Caenorhabditis elegans: one gene and its partners. The protein of the gene in region 1 interacts with the protein of each later gene in a pairwise test. Each region holds a gene or a part of one and is shown in the gene's direction. Other genes may lie near its edges.

Evidence for each region.
Region 2: the proteins of hda-1 (region 1) and nasp-1 interact in a two-hybrid assay, tested with the Caenorhabditis elegans proteins (2 studies listed by BioGRID).
Region 3: the proteins of hda-1 (region 1) and T22F3.2 interact in a two-hybrid assay, tested with the Caenorhabditis elegans proteins (2 studies listed by BioGRID).
Region 4: the proteins of hda-1 (region 1) and F55A11.1 interact in a two-hybrid assay, tested with the Caenorhabditis elegans proteins (2 studies listed by BioGRID).

The regions. Positions count from the first base shown.
Region 1 is NC_003283.11:14,523,847-14,532,146, forward strand, and holds hda-1 (Histone deacetylase 1), read left to right. Parts: upstream 1-1,542; 5' UTR 1,543-1,561; coding exon 1,562-1,735; intron 1,736-1,781; coding exon 1,782-1,899; intron 1,900-1,944; coding exon 1,945-2,811; intron 2,812-2,904; coding exon 2,905-3,131; 3' UTR 3,132-3,565; downstream 3,566-8,300. Other genes in the region: ril-1 (RNAi-Induced Longevity), read right to left, coding at 1-67, 116-265; kcnl-4 (Calmodulin-binding domain-containing protein), read left to right, coding at 7,278-7,353.
Region 2 is NC_003280.10:11,103,404-11,111,383, forward strand, and holds nasp-1 (Protein NASP homolog 1), read left to right. Parts: upstream 1-3,208; 5' UTR 3,209-3,232; coding exon 3,233-3,345; intron 3,346-3,396; coding exon 3,397-3,763; intron 3,764-3,812; coding exon 3,813-4,388; intron 4,389-4,446; coding exon 4,447-4,539; 3' UTR 4,540-4,667; downstream 4,668-7,980. Other genes in the region: C09H10.5 (uncharacterized protein), read right to left, coding at 348-354; C09H10.9 (YqaJ domain-containing protein), read left to right, coding at 1,115-1,204, 1,262-1,513, 1,568-1,782, 1,828-1,964, 2,014-2,123, 2,168-2,306, 2,355-2,482, 2,527-2,559; apc-1 (Anaphase-promoting complex subunit 1), read left to right, coding at 4,821-4,874, 4,928-5,257, 5,302-5,731, 6,017-6,163; glb-4 (GLOBIN domain-containing protein), read right to left, coding at 6,210-6,414, 6,469-6,619, 6,900-6,985, 7,032-7,196, 7,247-7,354, 7,402-7,614, 7,660-7,766. UniProt on the Caenorhabditis elegans protein: Promotes normal hermaphrodite (XX) development, in concert with zinc finger protein tra-4 and histone deacetylase hda-1, perhaps as components of a complex. May act redundantly with nasp-2.
Region 3 is NC_003283.11:3,582,894-3,591,657, forward strand, and holds T22F3.2 (Ubiquitin carboxyl-terminal hydrolase 36), read left to right. Parts: upstream 1-3,745; 5' UTR 3,746-3,746; coding exon 3,747-3,888; intron 3,889-3,938; coding exon 3,939-4,172; intron 4,173-4,225; coding exon 4,226-4,468; intron 4,469-4,523; coding exon 4,524-4,686; intron 4,687-4,735; coding exon 4,736-4,865; intron 4,866-5,109; coding exon 5,110-5,274; intron 5,275-5,420; exon of another isoform or gene 5,421-5,492; intron 5,493-5,609; exon of another isoform or gene 5,610-5,681; intron 5,682-5,748; coding exon 5,749-5,853; 3' UTR 5,854-6,119; downstream 6,120-8,764. Other genes in the region: pygl-1 (Alpha-1,4 glucan phosphorylase), read left to right, coding at 1-395, 702-1,659, 1,720-1,896; rpl-11.1 (Large ribosomal subunit protein uL5A), read right to left, coding at 2,476-2,715, 2,765-2,980, 3,031-3,165; T22F3.12 (Peptidyl-prolyl cis-trans isomerase), read right to left, coding at 6,136-6,370, 6,419-6,522, 6,866-6,985.
Region 4 is NC_003283.11:11,759,178-11,766,769, reverse strand, and holds F55A11.1 (EF-hand domain-containing protein), read left to right. Parts: upstream 1-2,384; 5' UTR 2,385-2,391; coding exon 2,392-2,490; intron 2,491-2,621; coding exon 2,622-2,698; intron 2,699-2,743; coding exon 2,744-3,004; intron 3,005-3,116; coding exon 3,117-3,240; 3' UTR 3,241-3,631; downstream 3,632-7,592. Other genes in the region: syx-5 (Putative syntaxin-5), read right to left, coding at 1-92, 547-644, 690-1,161, 1,404-1,586, 1,663-1,851; T04F3.4 (EF-hand domain-containing protein), read left to right, coding at 3,774-3,816, 3,869-3,923, 4,476-4,633, 4,680-4,807; T04F3.5 (uncharacterized protein), read right to left, coding at 4,876-4,952, 5,120-5,219, 5,263-5,378, 5,422-5,695, 5,744-5,842, 6,004-6,081; T04F3.3 (Tyrosine-protein phosphatase domain-containing protein), read right to left, coding at 6,222-6,356, 6,399-7,027, 7,445-7,592.

The DNA.
Region 1 (8,300 bases):
CTGAGTAAATGTAGAAACGGAAGATTGGGAGGTACTTCCAGCAATGGCGCCAGGACCACATTCTCAACTGAAATTGTCATTATTTATTTTCTTCATACTTTCCGGGAAATCTTACGTATTCTTGAGCGGTCCATGGCCGGGCTGGCATGCGTGGATGAAGGTCTGTGGCCGGGATTGGAGCATTTGGAGAAGCAACGACGACGGCGGCTCCTTTGACTGTCTCGGCAGTCCACTTTGCTGCCTCAAAGAGCTTTCCTACGACCATAGTTGATTACCTACAAAACTAAAAATGATTATGTAGTTAAGCTTTATTTGAATATTGATATTTTTAAGCTAAAAAAAAAGATAATTGACATAATTCAACATCGTGAGAGCGTGGGGAAAAATTGAACGTGAATTGCAAGAAATAAACAAAATAACTTATATTTATCAATATTTTACATCGAAAAAAAACTCAAAAAGAGCAATTTTTAGCTTAAAAATAAAAAATTGGGAAGCCAAAAACTGACGGCGGTTTTCGTCCCGCCCCTTTTTGCAAGATTGTGCGTGCTCGCGGTTGTGTGCAAACACGCCGCACACACTTACGACGCTGCGTTTTTTGTCTGCCTCCTGTTCTCGTTCAAAACTGTTTCACCGTTCACCTCGTTTTTCTCTCACTTTTCTGTTTTTCTTATTGTTTTCTACTAGAATTATATCTATATTTGTTCAAAATATAATAAAAAGACGACGCTTGAAGTGTTTCGAATAGTTATTTTCACTGAGCTGCACCTGTCTAATAGACCCACCGTTCAAGGAAGAAAATATCGATTTGTAGGCACTGAATAATATTTTTTAAACATTTTTCGATTCAAAATAAAAATACTTCCAGCAATGGCGCCAGGAAATTCATTGGAGAACTCACTCTCAAATATTAATCTCAATTTCGTAAAATGCTATTATCAAAAAATATCAATAGCACAGGCCACGTGGCTTTTGTTTTTTATTTAAGCTCCTCCCACAACTTTATTTCCGAAGTGAATTTAAAAATTAAACTAAAGGTCAATCATGGGAGGAGCCTAAATAAAAAAGAAATAAAAATCAAAAGCCATGTGGCCTGTGCGATTGATATTTTTTGATAATAGATTGTGGCTGGCTAGTTTAGATTCCTGTAGAAATTGTGCCAAGAAAATTTAAATAATTTCAAGACAAGGCCCAAAAGACAGTATATCATATTGTCAGAATTTTTTATTCCTTGGCACTGGCGAAATTTTCCAGTGCTCTAAATTATTCCAAAAAACCACAGCCACCTGTTTAAGTATATGTCTTTGAAAATTATATTCCTTCAAAGTTTTTACAAAACCTCAATTCTTATATTTTTCCGCTTCAATGATCTTGCCGAATTCAGTTTATTGATCAAAATGTGTTATAGTAATGAGCGTTTTCACGTCGCGTTTATATCGATTACCAAAAATTAGCCAAAAACTCGATCAATACTGCATAACCTGTCTTACACCTTCTCCTTCTCTTCATTTTATTTTTCTTCGAGCAATCTTGTTATTTCAGTCTACTGCGACCATCAAACATGAACTCAAACGGCCCGTTGATGGAGCACGGTAAGCGCCGTGTCGCCTACTACTATGACTCCAACATTGGAAATTACTATTATGGTCAAGGGCACGTCATGAAGCCACATCGTATCAGAATGACCCATCATCTCGTTCTCAACTATGGTCTGTACCGGAATTTAGAGATTTTCGTAAGTAATATTTCTTCATTGAAATATTGTAAACGTTTAATTTTAGCGCCCATTCCCTGCATCATTCGAAGACATGACTCGTTTTCACAGCGACGAGTACATGACGTTTTTGAAGAGTGCGAATCCAGATAATCTGAAATCCTTCAACAAACAAATGCTTAAGTGTAAGTTATATTCTTTTTAAAACTAAATGTATTGTCTCATTTCAGTCAATGTTGGAGAAGATTGTCCTCTCTTTGATGGTCTTTATGAGTTCTGCCAACTCAGTTCGGGAGGTTCTCTGGCTGCTGCCACTAAATTGAACAAGCAGAAGGTGGACATTGCTATCAATTGGATGGGAGGCCTCCATCACGCCAAGAAAAGCGAGGCGTCCGGATTCTGTTACACCAATGACATCGTTCTCGGTATTCTCGAGCTTCTCAAGTACCACAAGCGAGTACTTTACGTCGATATTGATGTTCATCACGGAGATGGAGTAGAGGAGGCGTTCTATACGACTGATCGAGTAATGACAGTGTCATTCCATAAATATGGAGATTTCTTCCCAGGAACCGGAGACCTGAAAGATATAGGAGCTGGAAAAGGAAAGCTCTATTCAGTCAATGTTCCACTTCGCGATGGAATCACCGACGTCTCTTACCAGAGTATTTTTAAACCAATCATGACAAAGGTTATGGAGAGATTTGATCCCTGTGCTGTTGTTCTTCAATGTGGAGCTGATTCTCTCAACGGAGATAGACTTGGACCATTCAATCTGACCTTGAAAGGCCACGGAGAATGTGCTCGTTTCTTCCGAAGCTACAACGTTCCACTTATGATGGTCGGTGGAGGTGGATACACTCCAAGAAATGTGGCACGTTGTTGGACGTACGAAACCTCGATTGCCGTCGATAAGGAAGTTCCAAATGAGTTGCCATACAATGACTACTTCGAATACTTTGGACCAAACTACCGACTTCACATCGAGTCGTCGAATGCAGCAAATGAAAATAGCTCCGATATGCTGGCTAAATTGCAAACTGACGTCATCGCCAATCTCGAGCAGCTCACTTTTGTTCCAAGTGTTCAAATGAGACGTACGTTTTGAACGAATTTTTGTTCACTTTTTAGAATCTGTCAGAAAATTATTAGATGTTTGTTGAACACTTCATAATTATTCCATTTTTCAGCGATCCCAGAAGACGCCCTCTCTGCATTGAATGATGACTCATTGATCGCCGACCAAGCTAATCCCGACAAACGACTACCACCACAAATTACCGATGGAATGATTCAAGACGATGGAGACTTCTACGATGGTGAGCGTGAGGGAGATGATCGAAGAAACGAGAGCGATGCGAAGAGAGCAGCTCAGTTTGAGTCGGAAGGTGGTGAAAAGCGTCAGAAGACAGAGTAAAACACTAAAATGTGCCGCCGTCGAATTCAGTATCTCCTCTGAAAATAATATTCAATCACTGTACACCACTTTTTCCTTGTCAAATGAGTATTACTTTTTGATTTTCCTTAAATCTAATTTAATTTTCCGCCCAAATCCCAACTGTTTTATTTATTTTTCAAATTCAAGCACTTTTATTTGGAAGATCTCTTCACTTTTCCCCATTAATCCTTTTTTATCTCAGTATCCTTTACCCGTTTTGCACTTCCTCAACATCCTTACTCCTCACATCCACATCTAATCTACCCCCTTCAACGATTTCCATTTCTCTTGTCGTCCCACACTCCCCATTTTACTGGCACACAATTCCAATTCCACAGTCAGATCCTGAACACTTTTTTGTATTTTGGTGAATTTCTTCGTTTTTATTTATTTAATAAAATTGACTCGATTGGAACCGGCGCAACGTCTATCTTCAATTCGGAAATTGGAAAAATCGAATTTGTCACATTGGAATTCGAATGGAAGAAGACTAAAGTTTTTGCAGTTGACATCGTTTATGTCGTCAGTTTCAGCTGCTTCATAATTATTGTCTGGAAGCGAGCAATTATAACACGAATTATGATGACTACGCATGTGGTCTCATATTACAGAATAAATTCTCATTTCTATTTTCAATTGTATTCCTTGTCTGTCTTCATCTGATGTTGGATGGTGTGCTCCAAAACGGAGACCAACAAAAATTGCATCATAAAAATCCACTTATCCAAATTTTAGCCCCACCTGGGAATGGAATCGAATCGGCTCTCCGAGCACTCCTTTCACACAGAGACGGAGAGAGAAATTAGCTTTTTACTGGGTTCTTGTTGTTGAAAATGCAAAAAAGATGAAAACATGTTTCGATTCTTTCTTTGTTTTTCTTTTTTCTTTCCACTCATTCATACTTTTCATTGTTTGTCGTTCATTTTTCAAGTCTAAAATTCAGAAATATCGAAAAAAAAGGATATTCAATTTCGCAACGTAACCGATTTCCGGTTAGATATCAGCTTGAGCAGAAGGGGAGGTGCATGAAGAATAAAAGAAGAAGGAAGGGAGAAGCTCAATTTCAGTTGATGAACATTCGTTTTTTAGTTTTATGTGTCTTGTCCTCCATTGAACTTAACTCTTTAAAAATGGATTACCGGTTTTTGAACATCTCTTTTTCAGTTTATTAATCGCAACGTCACACGTAAAGCCGCAAGGGTTTATTCGGATGGGTCTCGCCACGAGGAAAAAGTTTAAGTGTACAGTTTAGAATGTACATCAAAAAGTTATACTTCAAACTTTTCTCGCAGCGAGACCCATATGATTAATTCTGTGCACCTTTAAGTTTCAGAAAACAGCGAAAGATAAATGAGATGACATGAGAAGTGTACTATTCTCTTTTTTTTTAATTTGGCAGCTGAAAATACCAAGAGAACGGAGTTCGTGGCGAGACCCATTGAGAAAATTGTACGTAATCTTCTGTACACTCACGAATTTACTATAAAATTTAAGAAAATATTATTTAAAGTTTTCTAGATGATTATTGAATCTATTTGAGATTTTCTGTTAGCCACAATTTGGCATAATTTTCAATGGATTCAAAGAATTTTCGTTAAATTTTTTTTCTAAATTTGAAATACTTTGAAATTCTTTAAAAAATCAAGTGAAGTGGTTTAATAAAAAGACTGAAAATATATTTAAAAAGGTTTTTGTCTCTTCGGGTACAATTTCAGATAGAAATTGACGAATTGAGATACAAAGCTTTTAAAGTTTACTGAAATCGTATTATTACAAAATGAACGCATATTAATTTTTCCAGAACAATTTTTTGTCGACAAAATGTAGGAAATGTGAGATCCGTGTAATAACGGAAATAGAGCTGGCAAGCCCAAGTTTTGAGAATCTCGTTTTAAAAAAGACCGTTACACTTTTTACCAATAAACCATATTATCACTTCAAGACGGTTTTTTACAGACTTTTAGGCATGTTGTGATATATATTTTAAACTATAGTTTAATCCATAGGAAAAATTCTGAAGCTTTTCGGACTTTTTTCTTTAAAAAAATTAGTGAACATTGAACACGGCTCTGGAATAAACCAAATTTCTTTATACTACTCGTCTTACTATTAGTTAGACAGTTTTCACATCTATAACAAGAATGATATTTTAACCAGAATTTCTTGAATATCCCAAGAAAAAGTCTTATTCTATGGTATTTTGCTATCTTCTCAAATTTCAAAGATCTTGAAAGTAAGTCGTTTGTTTTCTTTCACATTGTGGTCTAAAATTAAATGAAGTAAATATCTATGTACATCTGCGTCCATTCAATTTCCCACTTAAAACAGAAATAAATGTAGTGCCCTTGTTAATGAGCAAAAGTTGACCTTCATTGATGGAGTTGAGAATATCTGGAATCAATTATTTTCATTATTGACTTCCCCCTTTGTCTACTTCCTCGTTATTGAAATACTTATATTTCTAATTGGAACACTTGAATTTAGAGTCATAAACTTTTGAACATGATCTTTTTCTCGTTGAGTTATCTACCATTTTCCTCGTAAAACAACGATCGATAAAATCCAATAAAATCATCACTTTAATCTCGGATACCGGAAATTCGAATAAAATTGAAAATTGATCATGTGCTCCTCCAAATAATCATGTCGTTATGTTTCACCAACGCTTATTTTCCTCTCTTTTTTGAATATGAATAGTGTTTCTATGGTTTGAATGAATGATGTCATTTTGAATGGCACACTTGCCTTGCTTTCCATTATTTAACAATAGGCAAGTTCAGCCAATAATGTGGTAAATGTATTAAGTAAAGCTATGAATGAACCAAAAAGGTAAAGACGTGCATTTACTTTTTGGATTTGCGCAAACCTTCAAGAAATACACTAAAATGACTGTACTGACCTGAAGTTTTAAAGAATATTTATCTGAAAAGTTCAATTTGGAATTTTTCCATTTCACTTACTATTAGTTCATTATAGTTCAAAAGTAATGTTTTTAGTTTAAAGAAAGCCTGAAAAATATAAAAATTTGGTTATACTCCTTTCATATAGCTGATTTATTTTTATATATCCACAACTAAATTATATCAGTAGTTGGACTTTTATATTTACCTACTTGAACCCGAAAAAATTATTTATTTTTTAAAATTGTCTCAAAGTTATTTTCAACAGTAGAGCGTGTCTTCCAATAAACACAACATACACTTTGTTTGTGCTCATTAAAAAAATTAAAATATAACTTAAAAACATTAACTGCCACATTTATAGAAATGTTCAGTTAGAGATAGAAATTTTTAATCAAGCTCCCAATATTTAAATTCAAAATAGTACGAACTAGAAAGTTTTAGAATAATTTTGGTAAAAGCCTATTAATTTTTTGAAACCTATGTCTTCTGGAAAACCCCGTGGAATTTTGTAGCTTAACCATAAAAACATTTTTTTGCAAAATTTGAAACACACATAAATTTTTTTTTTGCGAATGCTACTGAGAAAACCCCAAATAATTTTTTCCTAAAATTTTAACATCTTGCAAGATTCCAACTTTTCCTGTTTATCTGCAAGTTTGTAACTTGTTCATTTCCGTGTTGTTACACATTGCCACCAACTTATCAGTCAACATTTTTGCTGTGAGCAGTATATGGTGATATCAGAATTCGTTCCCACAAGTCAACGAGTATTTTTTTTTCTTTCTCGCAATTCTAGCTATTTGCACAAAAACAAGACTCTTACCTAATCCCTCAACTTTTCATGTTCTATGTGCTCATTTTACCCACAATTTCTCTTCTCTTTCCAGAGAAAATTTTTGCGTCGGAAAAAAAAGAAAAAATCGTTCAGGTTTTATTGGATTCTGTTCAATTTTTTTTGGGAACTGATATTTTCAATTAATAAATTGCCACTGTTTTCATTCACAATTCATGCATTTCTGACAATATTGCAGGTACCAGAATGTACCCGCCCTATTCTTTTATTTTTTCCATTATTCTCGAGTGCGCCGCCGGTCCATCGTCGGGGTGAAGTAAATCCATTTCGCGCCACTACTCAAAAATGCATTTTTTGAGTGCTCACTCTTTTTGGACACTTTTATTCTTTTTTCTTCGTATTGGCAATAAGAATTAATTCAGGAACAAGATGGCGGCAGTACGTGCTGGAGCTGTTGGCCTGTCGAAACAGGCAAGATTCACAATGTATTCGTCTACAAGGCCAGGTTAGTGAAGATGTTGGGAAAAAAGTAGTCAGAAAGTTATGAAACAGGGGTATTCGGTATGCTTTTCTCGGTACATACTTGTAGACTATACCTCTATAGATCCTAATTCTCATGATACCTACAAAATAATTATAAACTCAATAATCTTTAGTGAGAAAAAGTAAATTCTGGTGATTCTTGAAGAACTTGGTTTCACAAAAAAATAAATCTAGAAGCACGCAAAATGTATGTAACTGTCTGCTTTTTTTGTTCGACTAGACTTTTTAGAATCCCTGGAGAAAAATTTTGAAATGTCAAGTACTTGACGTTACTTGAACTTGTTGATCATTAATTTAAAAATACATATGTCCTCAGAATTAAAATCAGAATCATTTCCCAATCCTCAACATATATGTATACTTCTCAAAGATTATTCATTTGTTTTTTTGATCTAGGATATAGTTTTTTTGAAGTGAGTGTGTTGAAGTGAAGATTTTTTAAGGAAATCTGTAAGAAATCAGCTCATATCCTCAATCAGATTACATCTATACAATAACAGTAGATGTTTAAAAAGGATTTAGAAAATAAATCTCTAAACATCGGGAGTTTGAACACCTAGAATTATCAAAATAATGACACATTTGTTTCAACCATTTATTACTATTGTAAACAGATAAGATAAACCAACTCCCGAGCCGAAGAACTTTTTGAACTGTTCAGTTCTAGTTTTTGAATGAAAGTAATTTTCGATTAGTTTTAATCATGTTTATCTTGAGACTAATTAGTATGGACTCAACATCCTAAAATGACAAAAAATCGGATAACTAGTAAGTTTGATTTTTACGTTCCGGGAATTTTTTGCAGTATGTCTAGCAAATTCATCAGGTATAATTTTCATAGTTTGCTATAGACTTTATAAAATATATTAGAACTTGAATAAAATTGACTTTAAAAGTTGATAAAATTTG
Region 2 (7,980 bases), on another chromosome or scaffold:
GTGAATAGTAAAATATCACGAAAAAATCTAAAGATACTTGGAAAATCTGAAAGCAATTTCTATTACAGAGTCGCGAAATTTTTAATTTTTGCGCCCGGCCTCGACACGGCAATTTTCGTCAGATACAAACAAGTGTGCGCCTTTAAAGAGTACTGTAACTTCAATTGTTGTGGAATTTTCATCGATTTTTCGTTAAAAATATTAAAACTTAAATAAAAAATAATGAAAATTCGATGAAAATTCCGCAACATGTGAAGCTACTCTTTAAAGGCGCACACCTGTTCATATTTAACAAAAAACATTTCGTGTCGAGACCGGGCGTCGTGTTTTTAAAAATTAGCACTCACCACGCATTTTTTGCATCAATTTCAGAATATTTGAGATTTCCAAAAGCTACAGTGAAATATGAATACAACAAATATTACACAAAAAGAGATCTGAATGGGGTGAGAGCAACGAGAAAGACTGTCAAATCTCCAATTAGGGGCTGAAAACGAAAACAAAATTCTGAGTCGGGGCGGGCAGACGTGATATTATGTTGTTGAATTCTATAGGGAAGGAATCTACGTTACTAGGTCTCGAAGCGACCGGAAATTTTATAGAAAAGCTACGAAAAAGGGGTTGCGCCTTTAAAAAGTATTCCATTCAAGTCTCACTTTTTTGTTTCAGAAAATTATTCGATCTGCGAATTGTGGAAGGATATTCGTAGCAACTACAGTACTCCTTAAAGGCGCACACGCTTCATGCCTGCTCTACAATAAACATTTTCTATCGTGTCGAGACCGGCTACCGTATTCTTTTGTAGGAATTGAAACAATTTCGCATCTTGGCATCTGCAAAGGACTGGAAAAAATGTTTTAAAAACCAAAAATTTGCAGAAAATAGGTCATTATTTAATTACGTCAAAACGCGTTGTTCTGAAACTGAAAAAAATTAATCTGGAAAATTAAAAAGCTGACGTGACCTTAGATTTGAAAAGAAAATGATATGCATAAAACGTGGGACCTGTGGAAAACACGATGACGAACGAACCTTTGAAATCAAAGAAAAAACACATTATTTCGAGTTAGTCTAACAATTTCCTGTACGATTTTACAATTTTCCCGACGAGCAAATGCCTCGGAAGCGTTCTAGATCCGAAAACTACGAGGATCACATTGCGATTCATCATACGCTTCAACCAGTGACGTTCATTGAGGAAGAGGTAATTTGAAATTCTATGAGACTTTTTTTTTTTAAATCTCAATCTCATAATTTTCAGTTAATTCTGGTGTGGCGATTCCCAGTGGACATATCCCAATCTTCTATCGGTGGACGGACAACTTTATCAAATGCCTGTACCCTCATTGCTCTGAAAATTGCCGAGCTCGTCCATATTCATGACATCAAAATGCCAATACCGTATCCAACTCGAAATGATCGTGTGGCGGCCGGTGCTGAGAGGACGCAGCGGAAACATTATATTCGTAGCTCTGCAGATGAGACGGTTGTGGATAACAATGGTTTTGAAACTGTAAGACTTTTTAGATTAAGCTTAATTATTGGATTATAAATTTCTTAATTTCAGACTTGCCCACCGCGACTTATTGGTTGTCTGATTAATGGGATTGTGGATGGAAATGACACTTATTCAAAGCACGCTGGTGACGAATCTACGAGAAATTACAACTTGCCAGATGCAATCAAAGCATGTGATCTTAGTTTTTCGGAAGTTGATTTCAAACTAACTACTGGATCAATCAAAGAATCTCTACCAAAACTAATCAAGATGGCTGTTCGGCAGTAGGTTCAAAATTTCAAATTCTATAAATTTCCGGCATTTTTCAGTCCATTATTTCAATCGGAAAGTCGCCTTGTCTTCATCATGATGAGCTGTGTTCGAACAGTTTCGATTATTTTCGATAGAAATCAGGACACGCTAACTCTATTCGACGCACACCAGCATTACTGGCCAGATAATAAAAGTAATATTTTATAGTTAAGCTTAATAGACCAATTAAATATAATTTTCAGAAACTTATAAGCACGGCGCTCTCATTGGTACTTGTAGCTACAGTAACTTGCACTCATTTGCAAAATGGATAGAAAATTTTGTGTATCCGGATGTCGCCGACCATGTTAATGTGAGGATCTACATTTTTTTTCACCTGTCATTACAAAATTTCAGGCATTTGAAATTTCGCTGATAAGAATTACGGAAGCCGGCACTAACAAAGCTCAAGGTGTATGTAAATATCCGGATAATAAATTCACAACGATCCGAACGCCAGTTTTCCAGGCTATGAATTTGCAGGAGGACAAAGAAAGTAAGTTTGATAGTGATTAAACGAAATTCAACAAAAACTAGATTGCAGATCTGAAATTGTCGGACCATCCAGTTCTCCTCGGCATTCTCTCCAAACCCCCAATCGTAAAATGTGGAGTAAAACGACGACACGACTCAGAAAATGGGGAAAACGAATTTACAATAAAATTAAAGAAGGTATTGAAACACAGCAGTTAAACATAATTTTAATTTCTTTTCAGAAATCGCCTAAAACGACTTCTGAGCGGACTTAATTACAACTTGGAAGATTCTCAACAATGTGCCATCGAGTTTTATGTGATATACAGTTTTTCTCTAGTATTTAGAATAAAAGTTTTTAATAAATTCATTTTGTTAAAGAACTAGAAGGAAAATAGGCAAAAGAAAATGCAAAAACAAAAAAGAAAAAATAAAGAAAACTCCAATTGCTCGTCATATGTGATGCGTTACAGTAATATCTGTGCGGCACGCAGACGCAACATTGCACAGCGCGGGAAAATTTGTTGTTGACAATTTAAGTTTATACTCCCAAAAAATTGTTTTTTCTCTTTTCAAATGAAAGTTTTGCTGAAGTATTGTGTTTATTTTTGTTTAATTAAAAGTTTTTAAGCGGCGGCAGTGTTAATAAGTGATTCAAGCTGGAATTATCAACTGAAATCAACCAAAAAATCGGCCTGTCGGTCTGTTCTAGCGGTAGAATTCTAAAAACATCATGAATACAGTTTATATGTTTGTTTAAAAACATTTATTGATAAACCTTTTCGAAACGTACTAATTCCCGCCGTATGGCCGGTTTTTAGTGGACTAGGCAACGCTCGGTTTCTAGGCTCTCCCGCGCTATTATACTCATTTGAATTTATCCGCTTTTTATTGAATTTTGAATATATATCGAATAGTATTTATTTTCAGATATTAACAAATCAGAAAATGGACACTGAAAACATCGCCGACGCCTCTGATATTCGTGTGAAGGATGCTTCAGGAGATTCAGATGAAAAAGGAAACGGGACTACTACAGAAGAAGAGACTGTCGAGCAGAAGTAAACTTTTGCTGCAGAATATCATCAATAAAATCACTTTTCGTATTCCAGAGAGAAGCGTCTCGCCGAGTTGCTTGCAGCTGGACGCCGTGCGTTGAAAGTTAACGATATCGACAAAGCATCGGATTCGTTGAGTGAGGCTACTGAACTGAGCTCCGAAATTTATGGAGAAAACCATGAAAACACGTTCGATTCTCTTTACTATTATGGCATGGCCACACTGGAATTGGCGAAGGAGGAGAGCCAACTTCTGAAAGGTCCAGGTGAGAAGGAAAGCGGAGATGAGGAGCAAGCTGGAAATTCTGATGACAAGACTGACGAAGAGAATGGAGAAACGGAGAAGGAGGACGGAGAGGAATCCGGTGAAGAAGAGGACGATGATGATGATACCATGAAATTATCATGGGAAATTCTTGAGGTTTCTTATTTTATTCAATGATTTTATGCTTAATTGTGATTATTTTCAGACAGCTCGTTGTATTGCCGCTGCCAAAATCGAAGCTCTAGAAGCTGAGCAGAGTGGAATCAGTGCCATTGAGGAATGGAACCTGAAACTCGCTGATGTACTGGTTCTCCTCGGCGAGCACGGAATATCAGATGGAAAGTATACTCAGGCTTTTGAGGACTTGGATCGTGCCCTCAACATTCAGCGCAATGTTCTTCCACCGTCGTCGAGAAAAATCGCCCAAACCTACATTCTCATCGGAAACGCGTGTGCTAGCGATGCGAATTACGATGAAACCGTTCAGTACTTCGGCAAAACCAAGGACGTACTCATCGCCAGGCAGACTGAGTTGAAGCATGAGCTGGAAAGAGGTGTTGATGATAAGGAAAAGAAGTCTGAATTTGAGAATGAGCTGAAGGAGCTTGAAGAGATGATGCCAGGCGTTGAAGAAATGATTGCTGATGCTGTGCACTCTGCAGCACAAGTTGAGGAAACTAAGAAGGCCATTAAAGCGCAATTCGAAGGATTCACACAAGTATTGGCAAAACTTCCACAAGAAGCCGGTGATCAGAAGGAAGCAAATGATATTTCTAGCTTGGTACGGTTTGAATTAACTTCCCGTAGACTTTTTAAATATTCAATTAACAAATTTCCAGGTTCGTCGTCCAGCAAAACGAGCAGTGGATGCTCCAACTGACAATCAAGCAGTGAAGAAAGAAAAGGAGGAGGAAGGAACAACTTCGATCTGAATATTGATAACCTGTAATTCTAAATATTTCATCATGATCTGACCTACTGAACTACTGATAATGTATCAATTAACATTTTATCTGTTATCCGAATTTAAGGATTCTAAAGTAAAACTTGTTCTGTATATATATATTCGCCATATATTCGTTTTTATAATTTGTTTCAAATCTTTTTCATACTTCCAAAATAATTTTACTATTTAAAACAGGATTTTCAGCTTCATTCAAATTCGAATTATACTTGTATGAGTGAAGAATTTGATGATTGCCATTGGAAAAATATGATCTCTGCTAATAAACAGTTTGATATTCAGCTGGGAGATGAAATTGGAAAGGTAATTTTTTTTAGATAATTAACAATTTAAAAAAAGTAAACTTAAATTTTCAGGATTTCTTCACCCAGGATACAGTGGTCTGCGCGTTTCGAAACAAGGAGAAGACCACGGATTTTGTCTTCACATCGGGTCCAATTATTCTCATTTGTGATGGAACGACGCGACGGAAGATGATTAAACGACGGTTCAAAATGGAGTTTGATATCAAAAAAGTGTTCTTCCACTCGTTCATTGTGACTCGAAACGCTGAAAAGTTGGCAACTGAGAATTGTGGTGGACCTGATACGAAGCATCGGGATTATTTGGTTGTGTGCGGTGAGCATAAGCTCCAGTTCATATCGCTTCCCGACTATCATTTCTATCACTATGAAATTCCTTTTAAGGTGAGAATTTAGTTTGAAATTCTGATAATTTCAAATATTTCCAGCTTCGCAACGTGTTCTCCTGCTCGACAAGTCTTCTGGTCGAACGGTTCTACGATTCATCCAGCGAACAAACCTTCCACCATCACGACACATTTCACCTCTACTCGCTATCCGGTCCATTCGGCGAGCTTCTCCCGGTTATCTACAAGACAAGCGGCTACCATCCACAATGGAAATTCTGTTGGCAATCGCATCGAGACGAGGCTGGACTCGTTGACGCTCAGCAAAATTACGTTGTTGTCTATGATCAGAAGGAGAAGACGCATCGGATTTATATGGCACGAGAGACACAAGAACAGGAAGTTCACGCAGCGATTCGATACGTTGAAGCACTCAGAAGACCGTCTGATTCAACAATGTTCGCGTCGAGTTTGGCGCCGAATTCTGCCGGCAGAACTACGCATTTTGATCCGACACTCAACTCTCCCGCCGGTAATTTTTGAAAACTTGAGCTTTTGGATAAATATATTATTCGTATTGTATCAGACATTCAAATCGTCAATATTTAGTTAATTTACAGTGATTTAAGTTAAAAACCAAAAAAACCTCGTTTCGAACAGGAAATAATTCGATTTTCCCCAAAAACTACTAAAAAAATCAAATGTTAAATTAGAAAGAGTTGTGATTAAAAACTAAAAAATAAATATTTTCAATTATGATATAGTGTGGAAGTCCGAGTTAATTTATATTCAACAAAAAATCATAATTATTTTCCAGAAAATGTGCTCTCCGAAGTGATCAGCTCGGAAATTGATAGCCGCTCACCGTTCACTCCTCATCTGCGATCCGGTTTTGGACATTCTACTCCAAACAACCCGAACGCTCCAGGCTACCCTGCAACACTTCCAACACCGAATTTTGAAGGTAATTTTTTTTTTTAATTCATAAAAATTTATTAGCACCATTAACCTCAAGTCGTGGGCGATCGTGCACGATGATGATGATCAAAATTTAAAAGTGTTATGCTTCGCCGTTGCTGATGCGCTCGTCCTGGCACTCGATTCTGTTTGACTTGATCTTCGAGGGGGCTCAATTGAGACGTCAACTTGAGCAGTTGAATGTCGCAATTATTTAGAAGAATTGACGGGTTGTTGGGAGAAGACATACGGCGGTTTCTGAAAATACGTGAAGTGAGAATTATAGCTGATGTCCGTCAAATTGTTACATACCGTAGTGCTGTGAAGTCTTGGCTATTCCTTTGAAGAGCTCCACCCGCGCGGAACATACTTCTTCGTCGATATGGAGTAATTGGAGATGATGGCTGAGTTGTTGTAGTCGTCGAGTTGCTCTCTGTTGAGCCAAGAAGAGCACACATTGGAGCTAGATTTGAGTAAATTAGAATATGAATTTAGCCAACAGAAACCAACAACAAAAAAACTATAAAACGAAAAGCACACGGCACACAGCAAACCTAGAAGTTAGTGTATTTATTGTTATATATATATATATATATACGTGGTGAGAAGGAAAGTGTAGAAGCGAACAAAATCAACTGAAGAATATCGAGAAAACTATCTAAGTGATCTACGAGGTGGTGGTGGGCGGTGTTTAGATGATGGTGAGCTACGACACGAATGTGAATGATGAACTTGAGACGCACCGATTGCCGGCGACATGTTCGGTTCGAGAAAATGGGAGGCGGATCGGGAACGTGATGAACGCATCGATGCCATTGAGATTATCGAGCTGGAATGTTTAGATTTTTTTGTGGAAGATATGGAAGAGCACTTACTTTGTAATGCTTAACCGAAGAGGTGTCTTTTCACTTGCACATCCCTCATATCCTCGTTTCATTGATTCGATTAACATGCAGGAAAACTGTCTCCAAGACTCACAAACTTCTTCTTCTTCACTTTTCTCCGCTGCCCTAGACCTTATTCTCAATATTCGCCGAATTCTGAAAACCAGTTGATTTCCCACCCGTGATGTAAATTGTCAAAAAGTTACTTGCTATCCTCTGTGACAACCCGCATGTACATTTTGCTCATGGCGATCGGAAGTTGTTGGGCAAACGGAGCCCAAAAGCAGTTGTCATTTCCCTCATTCATATAATGTCTATAAACATTTTTGTGAGTGTTGTCCCACCCACGCATATGACTAACCGATGGCGTGCTCCGAGACGGAAGGAAAGCGTCTTGATCATTTCTGGATCACATTTGTGAACTTTGATGAGTATGTTGAGAAAGTCACGAACTTGATTGATGATGTTGAGAAATTGAGCATTTTCCTTATAGGTAGCGTGCATAGTCTCTGGTAGATCAACAAGAGCCCATACCCATGTGGGTGTTAACTCGGCGGATTTGAGCCAAGCCTCACTGAAAACAATTGCTTTTCAGGAACAGTCTGAAAAAAGAGCTCACCTAATGGCATCACTCAGAAGCTGTGGATCGTGCGAGTTTATTGTATTCCACGTATGTACTACATGTTTTCGATGTGTAGATAGTTGACGAGCAGACTGATTGCCCATTTTGTTGCATAGTCCGGAAGATCTCTGATACACTGAAAATGAGCTTCATCATTAAGTATCTCATCTATCCTAACTGAGCCAATCGTAAAAGAACAGAATGAATCAAAGAATGGATTTTCTCTTTTCTATCTGTTTATAGCAACGGAAGCTTCAAAGAGAGTAGAAAGAGCACACAGTTGTTTAGCATGCTCTTTTCGCGAAGGTGAATAATGAA
Region 3 (8,764 bases), about 11 Mb from region 1:
GACACTCATCCATCGATCGGAATTCCCGAGTTGATCCGTCTCCTCATCGACGTCGAGGGACTCACCTGGGATCAGGCCTGGGACATTTGCATCAAGACCTACGCCTACACCAATCACACCTTGCTCCCAGAGGCCCTCGAGCGCTGGCCAGTGTCGCTTATGCAGAATTTGTTGCCGCGTCATTTGGAGATCATCTACGAGATCAATCAGAAGTTCATGAACACCATCTCGCAGAGATTCCCAGGAGATTTCGACCGTATGCGTCGTATGTCGATTGTCGAGGAGGCCGATCAGTTCGGCGAGAAGCGCATCAATATGGCTCATTTGTGCATTGTGGCTTCTCATGCCATTAATGGAGTCGCGGCTCTTCACTCGGATCTTCTCAAGAGCTCCACGTAAGCGAAAATGCTCTGAAACCTGGCGCTAGAACCAATGGGCGACGCATCATTTTGCAGCTCCGCCGCACGAATTTATTTTGGCTGTTTTTCGCATGATGTTTTGAAAGATTTCGATATGTGAACTCGATAAAATCACGAAAAATTGATAATTTGTCATTGAAAATTCGGACAGAAAGAGAAAAAACATCGTGCGGCGGTGTTGCTAAATCGCGCGCCGCAAATTGCAATCCCGGCCCGCCCAATTTTTCTTACGCGCAAATTGCAAAATTACCATTTTAAAAAATTAATATCATCCATTTCCAGCTTCCGTGACTTCTATGAGTTCTACCCGGATCGCTTCCAAAACAAGACGAACGGAATCACACCACGCCGCTGGCTTCTTCTCTCCAACCCATCTCTCGCCGACCTCATCGTCGAGAAGATCGGCGAGTCGTGGATCACCAATCTCGACGAGCTTCAGAAGCTCAAGGAGTACGCCAACGATGCCGGGTTCCTCGATTCGATTCGTCGTGTGAAGCTCGAGAACAAGCAACAAGTCGCCCAGTATTTGAGCGACGAGTACAATGTCAACGTGAACGCCGCTTCGTTGTTCGATGTGCATGTGAAGAGAATCCACGAGTACAAGAGACAGCTTCTCAATATTCTCCACGTCATTGCTCTCTACAATCGTATCAAGGAGAACCCGAACATCGATATGGTTAAGCGTACCGTGTTGTACGGAGGAAAAGCTGCTCCAGGATACCATATGGCTAAGCAGATCATTCGTTTGATCACCGCCGTCGCCGAACAAGTCAACAATGATGCCATCGTTGGTGATCGTTTGAAGGTCATCTTCCTCGAGAACTACCGTGTCTCGATGGCTGAAAAGATCATTCCAGCTTCTGATCTCTCTGAACAGATCTCGACCGCCGGAACCGAGGCTTCAGGAACCGGAAACATGAAGTTCATGTTGAACGGAGCTCTCACAATCGGAACTCTCGACGGAGCCAACGTTGAGATGGCCGAGGAGATGGGCGACGAGAACATCTTCATCTTCGGAATGAACGTCGAGGAGGTTGAGGCGCTCACAAAGCGCGGATACTCTTCGCAGGAGTTCATCGACAAGAGCCCAATGCTCAAGCAGATCATCGAGCAAATCGAAGGTGGCATGTTCACTCCAGAAGATCCAGATCAGCTCAAGGATCTCTCCAACATGCTCCGCTATCATGATCGTTTCATGGTGTGCGCCGATTTCGACGCTTTCATTGAAGCCCAGGATAAGGTAAAACTCAAAAAATTCAACTAATTCAAATTTTTACTGATCAAAATAAATTATTTTCAGGTCTCCGCTACATTCCGCGACCAAGAGAAGTGGTCTCGCATGGCCCTCTACAACATCGCCTCGACCGGAAAGTTCTCAACAGATCGCACAATCACCGAATACGCTCGTGAAATCTGGGGAATCGACCAGTTCGAGAGCTCTCTTCCAGCACCATATGAGAATGAGAAGAGCGAATAATTCTTCTATGCACTAACATTGTAATTAATTATCGCCATAACTTCCCCTCCTCTCCGTCCCATTTAGTTTATAGCATTTTTATAGAAGCCTTTCCCTCCCCCGATAATTCTTGTGAATCTTCAAGATCAAATTGATTTTGTCCTCTCTGCCCCCAGTCCAATAATCGTACTTCCCCCGAATGTGTTGCCATACTTTGAGATTGTCTATTTGCACGTCTGCCCTGCATATTTATGATAAATTGACTGAAAATATCAACTTTTTTTTTTTAATTTTGACTCGAATCTGCAAATGCTGAAATTTAATTAAAAATTATGGCTGTCTGAAGGATCTTCAAAGAAGTTTCGATACCTCTACGACCAGCTCGTTAGCAAAATACCAAACTCCTTTTCGATGAGTTTTCAAAATTCCTGGATAAATATCCTGAACTTTCTACATCAGAAGACCATTCGCAACGTAAAATTATTGATTCCAGGAAGTTGAAGTTCAGATCCACGACAATCAGACTATGATTCACAACTTTAACAAAACATTAGCAATTTCATTTTTAATAACAACAGTTTATTCAGAAAATAGAAAAACTTAACGACGACGGAAGAAGTTCTTCTTGACCTTTGGCTTTGGTGGCAGAATGATTCCATCGTACTTTTGCTGGAACCATTTGATTGTCTCCTCCTTATCGACACGGTGGGATGGTCCAATGCGTCCTGGTGCACGTCTGCGCTTGGAAACTCGAACTCCGTTGCGGTTCAGAACGACGTAGAAGTCCATTCCGTAGATTCCAATTCCTGGGTCGTACTTGATTCCGAGATCAATGTGCTCCTGGAAACAAAATAATCATCACTTTTGAACACTTCAACTTTAAGCTAACCTGAACTCCGAAACCGAAGTTTCCAGTGTCAGAGAAGTTCTCTTTGAAAAGCTCGTATTCCTTGACCTTGAGTCCCTTCTCGAGGATTTCCTCAGCCTTTGGTCCACGAACGGTGCAATGAACAGCAATCTTTTCGTTTCTGCGAATTCCGAAAGTTCTGACGGTGTATCGGGCCTTGGAGAACACTGGGGTTTGTCCGGTGAGCTGCTCGAGCACCTGAAAATATTTCGAAAATTTACGAATTACTGTAGAATATATTGGAATACCTTAGCGGCACGGGTGAGACGATCTCCAGACTCTCCAACACAAATGTTGAGACAGAGCTTTTGGATCTTGAGCTCGCGCATCACATTGCGGCCCTTCTTCTCGCGAATTTCCGTCTGTTTTTCGACGTCCGTCATGATTACCTGAAAAAAAGCATAAATACATAAAATTTGAAAACTGTGACAAGCGAGAACAAGTAGAGAGAAACGCATAGACACAAGTTCAAAAATGCCGATAAAAAATTAGCATCTTGAGATCCTAGAAAGATATTCAAATTTTAGGCCTAAAACAACGAAAATGGGAGGAGCGACGCGCACACACACACACACACACCGGCATGCGCTGAAGAGACGGCAGAGAAAACGGGCAAGCGATAGAACAGCACAAACGGGTGACAGAGACGGCGAAACAACGACAAACCACTCTCATTTTGTGAGGAAAACTCGAAAAATCAGAAAAAAAAACCTCGAATTAAAATGATTTTCGGCCCGATTTAGGATTCGAGGGTACGGTTTTGTTTTCGTGCCGAGATATCGTGGTCCCGAAAATGGTGTGTGCCTTTAATTTTCGAATTTAATTATTTAATTCAGCTTTTTTCCGATTTTCGCTCTTTTTTTTTGAAGTTTTCCTTGAATTTTCTTGATTTTTTCTATATTTTCTTGAAATTTCTTCTTTTGAATTGAATTTCTAATTTTTTTTCAACGTTTTTTGTTACAGAATGACAGTAAATGAGGGTTGGGATTCGTTCAAAACGAACAGATGGATTAATTTCGATACTATTCCATCATCCTCCTCACAAAATCGTCCTGCACCCCGAGCTCCTGAAATTGAAGTTAATAGAAAAACGCCTGATTCACCATGTAAGCTTTGGAAAATTTGCGAATAATCTGATTAATTTTGTTTTTTGCAGCAAATCGAGCAAATCGCCCACGAACGCTTTCAGACCGGGGAAACGAGATTTTGGATAATCATGAACTCGTCAGCAGTCTCTACGCTTGGAATTGGTCAGAATTGAGAGAGAATTATCCGGAAAAGGGAATCCAGAATCCGTCGATTTATTGCTATGCGATCTCGTGTGTTCAATTATTATCGCATGTTCCGGCAATTGTAAGGATCCTTCAGGATCATCAATGCCAAGATACAGGTTTGATTTATGATTTTTCTATGAAATATTCTCGCAATTATGCTAATTTTCAGCTTGTCTCTGCTGCAACTGGAAGAAAAACTTCCTTCAAAGCCATGGCCATGCTGGAACTATCAATTGGTTCCGTGAAGCATTCAAAAAAGATCGAAAATTCAATCAAGGCCGCCAGGAAGACGCTCATGATGCTCTCCTGGCGATTCTGGGGAAGCTCGATAAGATATCGGTGCAGAGCAATCCTCGTCTGAAAGGCCGCAAAGTGGCCGATGATTTGTTCGGATATTCCATAAGAAATGAAGGTTTTTGAAGCACTTTATTGATTTTTTTTTTAAAGAAAATAATTTTAATTTCCAGTTCAATGCCCCGGGTGCAAGAACAAGCACGTCTACTATGAGCACAACACCGTTATGACGGTTCGGATGCTTAGAAAGGATCCATCAGGCAAAAGCCACTCCATTAAAGAACTCATGCAGGCTCTGTTCACGGAATCCAAGATATTCGGCTATAATTGCTCAAAGTACTGGATTTTCGAACTCATTTTCCAATCAAAATTCCCCAATTTTCAGGTGCAAAAAGAAATCCGACGCGCCAGTGAAGCCCACACTTCTCCGAGCTCCACAGATCCTGCTAATGCACATTTCTCGCTTCTCGTTTGATGGTTGGGGGAAGAAAATCTCTCGGCCTGTCACCTTAAATGTTAGTTTTTAAAGAAAACGGCACAGGAAAAAAGGGCGGAGTCGCGAGCGCAATCCGCGGCGCGCGATTTCGCAACTCCGCCGCACAGTTTTATCCGAATGGTTTTTCACCTATTTTTCCGCACTTTTAAGTGTTTAAAGTCATTTAATTGAATAGAAATTAATAATTTGTGCTTAAAAATTCGGAAAAATGGGTAAAAATAGTTAAATTAAGCAACAAAAAAAAAATTCAATTTTGATTTCAGGAAACTCTCGATGTGACGAGTATGGCCACCGCCGGCGCATCCACCGTCTATAAGCTGTGCGGAGCTGTGATCCATGGTGGGACTACGCTGGACTACGGCCACTATTGGTGTGTGGCTCGATCGAGAAAACGAGAGGAGCAGTTCGTGACGTTGAATGATTCATCGGTAAGGTTCCGTGTGGCAATGTGACCTTCTAGTTCTCCTGTTTCAAACAAGTGAGAGAGAGAACATTGATTCCACAATGCGATTATGCAAAAAGATACATCACGCCGGAGAGATTCGAAGAAATATGAAACTCCATTTAAAAAAAAGGGCCGAACCGGGGATTGAACGCGGGACCTCTCGCACCCAAAGCGAGAATCATACCACTAGACCATTCGGCCACTGATAAATATTCAGCGGGAAGCCAGAGACGTAAAGCATGCTTGCTTCAAATGACTAATAAAGAATCATTTCTTACCATTTCTACGTCCTTCGCTTCCCGATGGATACTTATCCGTGGCCGAATGGTCTAGTGGTATGATTCTCGCTTTGGGTGCGAGAGGTCCCGGGTTCAATCCCCGGTTCGGCCCATTCCTTTTTTGTTGTTTTTTTCCTTTTTGGAATGCCCAGTTAACTATTAATAAATCTACTATTCAGGTCTCCCAACACACGAATCCACGAGATGCTCTTCAATCCTACATTGTGCTCTACAGGCGGCGCGAACACCTGGCCAACGTTGGCAATGAAAAGTCGATGATTTAGTTCAAATAATTGCAATTATTTAGTTCCTCCCCCCACTCATAGCTGTACCCTATTTTTTTTTTAAATTTTTACCTTGAAATCGTGTAGCGTCGTTCCGTGATACATTTTGTTTGCCCCCCTTCCCCACCCGTTTAGTACTGTACTATCGTTTAGCAGTATTTTTCATTGTTGTTCAATCCCGTTTTACATGTTTTTTTCTCTCTTTTTATTAATTCTGGCGTACCTTTTCATTTTTGAATTGCCGATTAGAAAATCATCAAATTTTGTTTAATTGCTATTTATTTATTCAAAAACACCACAATTAGCAATCACAATATTGGCCTTTGTCCTGCCCTGCTGCGGCCCATTTCCTTCCAGAATTCCCAGATTCTCAATAGCATCCAGAACATCGAATCCCTCGACGAGCTCGCCGAACGCCACGTGGAATCGGTTCATCCACGGAGTTTCGCGAAACGTCACGTAGAATCGTGACGAGTTTGTGTTCTCCCAGCCATAGTTATCCATTCCTAGGATTCCTCTGAAGAATAGGGATTTACCTGGAAATCTGGGGGCAAAAAAAACTCACTTTTTGTCGTGAAGAATCTCGAAATTCTCGTCGTCGAAATATTTGGTGCCAAACGTGGATTTTCCACCGTCTCGGCGAGCATTTTGGGTTTCAAAATCGCCGGACTTAACATATACGGGAACATAAAATTCTCAAAATGCGTACTACGCAACATATTTGACGCAAAACTACAGTAATTCTTTAAATGACTACTGTAACGCTTGTGTCGATTTACGGGCTTGATTTTTTAAATGCATTAAAATCATTTATTTGCCGATAAAATGTTGAAATTAAACAAAAAATCGAAAATCGAGCCCATAAATCGACACAACCGCTACAGTAGCCATTTAAAAAATTACTGTAGTTTTCGCTACGAGATATTTTGCGCGTCAAATATGTTGTGCAATACGTATTCTCATTATTGGGGTCTCGTAAACATTCGTTCAAAAAAAAAAGAATTCAACTCACACAAGCACAAAAAGTGGGAATAACCCTATAAAACACGCAATTCTTGTATCCAAAACCAGGCGGCCCGGTGCAAAGTTTCACAAAATTCTCACATGTTTTAGGGCATTTTTCAGTGTTCAGCTGGAATATTTTTCGGATTAGCTAATATTACACGTGATGCCAGCCTGTCCCATTACGGTTTGATCTACAAAAAATGCGGGACTCTTTCGCCCAAAAAATGTGACGTCAGCACGTTCCTAACCATGCGAAATCAGTTGAGAAGTCTGTGTCTCTTCTCCCGCTTTTTTTGTAGATCCACGTAGATCAAGCCGAAATGAGGCTTTTTGACATCATGTGATATTACAGGAACTCGAAATTCTGAGATTACGTAATGCGCAACATATTTGACGCGCAGAATATCTCGTGGCGAAAACTACAGTAACTTTTTAAATGACTACTGTAGCGCTTGTCTCGATTTACGGGCTCGATTATCAAAAATGGACAGCTACAGTGCTGGCCAAAAAGATATCCACTTTTGGTTTTTTGTGTGTAACTTTTTTCTCAAGCATCCATTTGACTTGAATTTTTCCGTGTGCATAAAGCGAAATGTTACGCAAATTTGCGGACCAAACATTACATGATTATCGATTTTTTCTGAATTTTATTTCAATTTTTTGATTTTTTCGTTTTTCCAATTTTCATTATTTTTTTTTGAATTATCAATAAAACGCACTCTGTTTGTTGCACTGGATTTGTTTGGTTGATAAATTATTTTTAAGGTATGGTAAAATCTGTTGGGTGTAAAAATCTTTCCTTGGACGTCAAGAAAGCCATTGTAGCTGGCTTCGAACAAGGAATACCCACGAAAATGCTCGCGCTGTAAATTCAACGTTCTCCGTCGACTATTTGGAAAGTAATCAAGAAGTACCAAACTGAGGTGAGTTCGAAAAATATTATTTTTTAATAATAAATGTTTAGAAATCCGTCGCTTTGAGAATCTCGCCCGGCAGGCCTCGAGTGACAACCCATAGGATGAATCGCAACATCCTCCGATCAGCAAGAGAAGATCCGCATAGGACCGCCACGGATATTCAAATGATTATAAGTTCTCCAAAAGGACCTTTACCAAGTAAACGAACTGTTCGTCGACGTTTACAGCAAGCAGGACTACACGGACGAAAGCCAGTCAAGAAACCGTTCATCAGTAAGAAAAATCGCATGGCTCGAGTTGCGTGGGCAAAAGCGCATCTTCGTTGGGGACGTCAGGAATGGGCTAAACACATCTGGTCTGACGAAAGCAAGTTCAATTTGTTCGGGAGTGATGGAAATTCCTGGGTACGTCGTCCTGTTGGCTCTAGGTACTCTCCAAAGTATCAATGCCCAACCGTTAAGCATGGAGGTGGGAGCGTCATGGTGTGGGGGTGCTTCACCAGCACTTCCATGGGCCCACTAAGGAGAATCCAAAGCATTATGGATCGTTTTCAATACGAAAACATCTTGGAAACTACAATGCGACCCTGGGCACTTCAAAATGTGGGCCGTGGCTTCGTGTTTTAGCAGGATAACGATCCTAAGCATACTTCTCTTCATGTGCGTTCCTGGTTTCAACGTCGTCGTGTGCATTTGCTCGATTGGCCAAGTCAGTCTCCGGACTTGAATCCAATAGAGCATTTGTGGGAAGAGTTGGAAAGACGTCTTGGAGGTATTCGGGCTTCAAATGCAGATGCCAAATTCAACCAGTTGGAAAACGCTTGGAAAGCTATCCCCATGTCAGTTATTCACAAGCTGATCGACTCGATGCCACGTCGTTGTCAAGCTGTTATTGATGCAAACGGATACGCGACAAAGTATTAAGCATAATTATGTTGTTTTTAAATCCAATTGCTCATATTCCGGTACTTTAATTGTCATTTCCTTGCA
Region 4 (7,592 bases), 2.8 Mb from region 1:
AAAATTTGGCCAAGTTCGGAGATGGATCCTTCAATTGTCGCCATGGTGTTGCTACGGGCTTGCGCATATTCCAATGATGAATCTCTTTGTTGCTGAAAATATTTGTTTCTTGGAAAGTGTTTAAAAAAACTAACTATATTCTATCTATTTTTTTGTTTGATTTTTGAGCAATTTACAGTTTTCACGATTTTTATGTTTTCAATAAACGCTCAAAAATGTCTACAATATTCTATCAAGTCATAATTTTTGGTTAATACTATTAGAAATATAATTTTTAAATTTTTAAAGAAAAAAACGAATTCCAAAGAAAATATTAACATTTCCTAACTAAAATCATAGAAATCTTACAAATTTTTTGTAACATCGCAATTTTTCAAATGTATTCTTTGCTGTTCTAAATTAGTTTCGATAAAACTTGCTTTATTGGCAAAAAATATTAATTTTTAAAAAAAGTTTCACTGTACTTCTCCTAAACACGGAGCATTGGAAATTTAATATTGATAGTTTTTCAAAAAAAATTTCATATTTTTCAAATTGAAAACTTACCATAGTCTGTTGTGATTGCATGTTTGACAGAGCACCCATATCCAGAGCTATGCTTGAGGAGCCATGCTGCTCATCATCTTGAAGAAGCTTTGAACGAACTAAAATTTCAGATTTTTATTGAATGAGCGAGGAAAATAAAATACCATTAGCTCCGGAAGAGGAGGAAGGAAGTCCCATTGGAACTGCTGCACCACTCGAGAATTTATCTCGGCGATTTTTTTCAGCCTTCATTGTTTCTGTACTAATTTCCAGTACGCTTTGATAATCTTTTCCGACATTCGCTAATTTTGACTGCAATCCAACTACAACTAATTGTATATGTCCACTATTTTGATTTTTCATGTTTCCTGCACGTCTTTTTGAAAATTCTTGAAGTTGTCCGATCTGTTTGTTCAAACCCGTAATGTCAGACTTGACAATTGATGAAAGATGGTCAATTTGAGATCGTTCTTCATAGCAGCTCTTTTTCTTAGCATATTCGGCAAGTTTTTCCATTTTTGCACACGTTTGACTCAATTCTTTTCCGATTCGCTTTGCGAGTTGATTGAACTGCACGGATTCAGATAGCATCTCATGCTTTGGTTGAGGTCTAATTCCATTTGCGGCTGCTTTCATCTGAAAAATTATATGTTACCCGAATTTTATATAAATAATAAAAATATTATCGCCTAGAATGTTTTTAAAAATATTAACAGGTGATTCGTGTTTCTTTTTTCTGTTCGAAGTGTATTTCGAGTTTCGCAAAAATCGATATATTCGTCTCGTCCAAATGTTGATGTGAAACCCGAATAACACGTTTTAAAAGTAAATGTTTCGAAATAAAAGCTTATTTTTAGAAGTTTAATGAAAAAACTCACTTCGTATGATTTGGCTGTCGCCCGGAATTCCGAAGTTCGATCTCTTGATGGCATTGTGATAATGATATGATCAAGTGGATTTCCAAAAATACTCAGCGATTCAAGTGTTTCTACTACCTTTGATCGATCTGCGTCTATGCTTTCAGTGCCTTCCGCTGTGTCGTAGGAGGATACAAGCGCCTCCTGAAAGATATATGCATGAAAAAATAAAAACCAGAAATATACAGATAGCCATCTTTCTTCGTTCCGATAGACAAACCTGCGCAGAATTCCAAAGTTGTGAAGCTGACGCGTTGAAAACGGTTGTGAGAGAGCTATACGCGAAACTAGTCGGAGCAACTGCTGAAGTGTGATTCTTCTGATCTGGATCGTAATCAAAATCGACTGTTGAGTAAGAACTGGCTTCTGGTATTCGTCGACGAGATCTAATGTTGTGAAAGTCCGACATCCGACATCGAACAAACTGAAAAATATTGTTTAAATGACTGAAAGCGTCGAAAAGATTAATATATTCAAATGTCACGGTAAAAATATTATTTCAAAAGAAAAACAAATAACAAATATTTCGCTGCATTGTCGCAACAGTCCACTAAACCGGCTCGACTTCGTGGAGAAGAAAATCAATGTGTGGTCGGAGGTTGTGCGTGGCGTTGCGTATTTTATGCGCAACAAACACGCTCCTCAATGCACTAGTTTTTCTTTTTTTTTTGTTTAATTTTCAGTTTAAGTTTTATATTTCTCAACCAAAATGCTCAGTCAAGTTAATTTTATTAAAAAAATACACATAACTTTTCGTTTCGATTTATTGTTTTAAGAAATTTCAGCGATTACCGTAAGATTTGGAACACGTTGCCTCCCGATTACCGTATCTCCCCGTAAATCGACACAAATAAAATAACAGCTTCCACTTCACGCTTCCGTTTTTGATTCCGTTTTCTGTATTCTTACTTAGTTTTGTCTATATTTTAGTGATTATAATATTACAGGAATGGCAGCCAACATTTTGGTGGTATCTTGCCTCATTCTTGGTTCCTTTGCCCACCAACCACAGCAGTTTCCTGGTTCTAATCAACAGCAACCACAACAGGTAAACAATGTTTGTAAAGAATAATAAGAAAATTATTTTCGCTAGAAATTGAACTGAAAAACAATCTGGATACAGTGATTTTTATTATTTTAAAGCTTCTTTAATTTTGTAAATTGTATTGAATAAATCAGGGTGGCCAAGCGGAACAAGCTCAACATGCTCAGCCTGGGCAACAGCAGTTTGGTGGAGAACAGGCCAGAGATGAACAGTAAGTTTTAATAACAATTTTCAAAATTAATTTAAAACATTTCAGCCACATAAAAGAACATTTGGACGGAAAAGTGGACCCAACTGCTAACATGACGCCAGAACAACTTCAATTCCATTATTTCAATATGCACGATTTAGATAAAAATGGGAAACTGGATGGAGTCGAGTTGATTAAGGCAATAACGCATTTCCATGCCGAGAATCCAGGACCACAGCATACACAAAATAATGCCAATGCCAATCATCAGCCACCACCACTCCCAAGTGAAGTTGAATTGGAGACGATGATTGATAGTATTTTAAAGTGAGATATATATTTAATTAATTTATTTTCTAGAGACTACTGCTAGCAATTAGCATAAGAAAGCACTAAAATATTCAAAGTCTTAAAAAAATACTTTACTGAATATTTTCAGGGACGACGATTTCAATGCTGATGGCTTCATCGACTACGGAGAGTTCCTCAAAGCACAAAAGCTTCGAGAAGATCAAGCAAGATCTCACCAGGAACAAATGCAGAAAGCTGGTGGCACACAATAATCGAGAATTCTGATTAGGACAACGATCTAATTAATAGCCATAATTTCCAATTCCTCGTTTCCAAAGTTTTCAATGTTTTATTAACATTCTACGTCTTTTGATGGGTTATATCGACTGCTGTAACAAATCATTTTATCATACTATCCTCGTCACTTTTAACACTTTAACTGGTACATAATAGTCAGACACCCTCCCCATTTCCCAGTCCTACAACTTTAGTTATTTTTCCAATTTTGCATTTTCCCCATCATTTCTCAAGTTGTGATGATTTTTCGAAACCCATTTGTAAAAAGCATAATTTATTGGTTTATCTTATAGTTAGTTGAGATCGAATAAAAACAAATGAAAATTTGTATTTAGCACCTGTAACAATAAAATTCATGTTTGCTTTTGCTTTTGCACTACCAAATTTTGCGTTGGAACTAAAAGGCGAAGCAGGGGGAGACTGATAATAAAATATTGACATTTGGCAGTCTTGAGAAAAAGAGTTTTCTGTCTATTTCTATTGATTTTATACATATTCCCACTCTATAATGCGTGGATTTTTATTCATCTCAACTGTATTCCTTCTATTAGGTATGCAAATCTGTTTATAACTTTCTAATGTTTATAAATTATTAAATTTTAGTGCTAGAAGCTCAAGGAGCAAAGTTTGCTGAAGAAAAAGAAGTACACGATGAAGAGTAAGTGCAAGTGTACGTATGAAAATTAGTTTGGTTAAAGTAAATGTAGATGCAATTATATGCCATATGCGAAATTTAGCAATTTTCGCGCTAAAAGCACATAACTCGGTCTCGACACGACACTTCTTGTCAAATACAAGCGGATGTGTGCCTCTAATGAGGACTGTAATTTTTTAATTTCATCGATCTTTCATTGTTGGTACACTATTTTTCAAAATTTATATGATTTAATTGATTTTTTTATTTTGAAAAAATTAACTAAAGCATTTGAGCAAAAATCTATTAAAAAAAGCGCTACAACAACAAAAGTTACTGTACTCTTTAAAGGCGCACATCCGGTGGTGTCAAAAAGTTTCACGGCTGAGAAATAGGTAGCGTTTTGGACATTCCTAATATTGACAACTATTTAAAATTCTACTTTAAAAATGTTAATATTTACATTTTTCCCTTACAGTTAGAAGTTATAGTTAGTTTTTCTCGAAAAGAGTTTCAAGACACATTTCATTAGTAATTTGAGAAAGATTTTCAATAGTACGCTTCTTTTGTTTTAAGACATATCAAACAACATTTGGAAAATAAAATCGAAGTTGAGAAGCTAACAGAAGAACAACAACGGTTCCATTATTTCTCAATGCATGATTTGAATAAGGACAATTTTATTGATGGAATTGAAATTTTGAAGGCTCTTACTCACACTCATGATGCACACGGTACTGGATAACCAATCAATTATAGACTTATCTTTATACTTTTTAGATTCCGGACATCCTGTTCCAGTATCAGATGAAGCAGAAACAGAGAGACTTGTTGATGCTGTTTTGGATGATTTGGATTTTAATGGAGATGGAGTTATTGATTATGGAGAATATTTGAAACGACAGTGATTATAGTTGATAGATAATTTATTGAATTTTGTATTCTTACAAGTTTAAACTGGAATAGATGATTTCAACTAATTTTCTTTATTTTTTCGAAGTTCTTCAATCAACTGAGCTATTGCATTTCCTTCGTTGGCAGTCGGTATTTCATCTGGAATTATCAAAGTTTCTTAAAAACTTGAGACTTCATTTTAAAGGTACATACACGCTATATTTTCACAAAAGGTCTCACAGCGATCTTGCACAAAAAGTTTTGTTTAATATTCAAAATTACACAGGGCATCAAATGAATTTTGCAAACTCAGAAGAAAAACTTACCAACACCCAACATTTTTCTAGCAATTTCCAAGACTGTCCAAGATTTATTCGATTTATTTGCAAAATCTTCATCTCGAAATAGTTTCTCATTATCAAGACTCTGAAATATTGTTACAACTTTAATATACTGTAAATCGACCCACTTTAGTAATAGGGAATCCTTTGATCTTAGTCATATCGTACAAGTTCTCTTTTTCATTTGTATCATGCTTTCCAATTAGATCACCAATCCTCCACATTACAGGTGGAATCGTATCAGCTGAAATTGAATTTTTGCTCATGTTGAAGAAATCCATTCTTACGAGATATTGAATTAATAATTCTAGACGTTGTCGATGAACCAGATGAACCCAGGCCGTCTTGACTGTACGGGATTAAATTAAATCGTGGTCCATTCAATGAAATTCCAGATTCTGAGATCGATGGCCTACGTCTCATCTGGCTCTGTAGCTGTGAGAATTCCGGAAACATTGGACCATGGGAATTTTGATGATCTTCTTCTCTTTCTTTACTTTTTTGATGCATTTCAACAAGATGAGCAACTGATGAAACAAGTTGAGTTATTGGAGAGTATTCCTAAATTTTAGAGAACTATGAATTGAAAATCATGACATGAAAACGTACAATTTCCATTCCTTGTTCAAATGGGTTTCCAACAAGATTATGCATTGGCATTGACATAACCATAGGCATTCCCATACCCATTCCCATACCCATTCCAACCTGTAAGACTATAAACTTTCAGAAATATCCTTTCATCGAACGTTGTGAAAATTGTCTAACAAATTTTTCTGAAAGATAATAACATTCTTGACAAAGATAGTTTCTCAGATAAATCAGATTCTAAAAAAGTTGTTGAAATTCAAACCAGTTACTGGACTCACTGGAATTTGTTGAAATATTTGGCAGTGACAGATGTGAAGAAATATAAAGTAAATCTGAAGATATGTGTACGTATTCATTGTTTGACACTTGAAAGTGACATTCCAAAAAGGTGGTAATTGGGAAAATGACTCAAGTTTTAATGTAGGTCATCCGGAAGGAAATAAAATGAGAATAAAAAATTTGAAGAATCTTTTATTTGTAGACTTGAAAAAACGGGTCAGTAAGATTCAGGATTATTGCGAATGATAAACCCATTCAAGCTGATTTTACCGAGATCCTCCACATTCACCAAATGATGACGAATGGCATATTCGAGAACTGACATTGATAAGAAGACAAACTGCTCGGCTTTCTGAAAATATTAATTTTAATCTAGTTATAAAGAACGTATCACCATGCAGGCTGCACCACGAAGCATTCGAAGTCTAGCAATTGTATCCAGAATATCAACAAATGGAGTACCAATTTCATGAGAGGCTGTCAGACGTTGACAAAGAATATCCAAAGCAACAAGAGTGCAGCTTCTACTGAATCCATCAAAACACACCAATGTCATTGGTGTCCGTTGACTGTCGTCAAAAATCTTCTTTTCAAGTCCCTGTTTTCTGAGAATTGTTCTCATATGGTTCATATCTGCCAATAAATCCAGAATATCAGATGGTTTCTGTGGATAACCAAGTTTTCCCCATCCACTATAGGTCAGAAGAATCACTGTTTTATGAGATTCGACACCTTTCTCAGAAATCTTCAGAACAGAAGAGTAAGTTGCCGGTCGAACTTTTCGAATGTTATCCAACTCAATTGTCATATCATCAATTACCAATGGTTCTCCAATCTTTACAGGCACAAATGGTTTTCCCTTTTCATCCAGGAGCTCGCACAGTGTCACCACAATAAGAGAATTACGATCGAAAACACACCGCCAAAATTGAGCAACACTTTCAGACATAGGAGACGGGGCGACAATGAATTTTCGAGTTTCACGATATCCGTCGATCCAACTTGAGTTGAGGTAATTATGACCTGAAATGTGTAGAAGATTGGATTTAGACGGGTAGTCAGAATCTAGACATTCCGTCTTTTTAGTGTCCCTTGTGACAGCCATAAGGGGGTATTTTCATATTTATTTTGATAGACGGTGCGCGATGCAGGCGAAGGTCGCCTTAAGGTGAGGCAGGCAGGTGTTTTGGCGCCTACATGAAAGACCTAACGCTTTTTTTCTGTTTTTGAACGTCAAACATTGAAATTCACGTACTGCCACCACATCAAGGCGTGGAACTAAAATAGAGATATCGTGGAATATTCAGTTAATTTGTTAAAATTTCACTAACGACTTGACATAAATTGCGATACTAAAATAATATAATGTAGTAAATAAATGTGTAATGACGTAACGCCCCACTAGTTTTACATATTTTTATTCTGAAGTTTTTGAATTACCTTGACGATGAACGGCTCGAACACGCGTCTGCTCGTAAACTTGAATTTCTCCAAATTTATTCAATTCGGGGTGATCAAAGAAAGCGTCAACAGTGCGAAGTCGTGACAATGGAAGAGACGAGAAATGTGAAAACTCTTTTCCGACAGA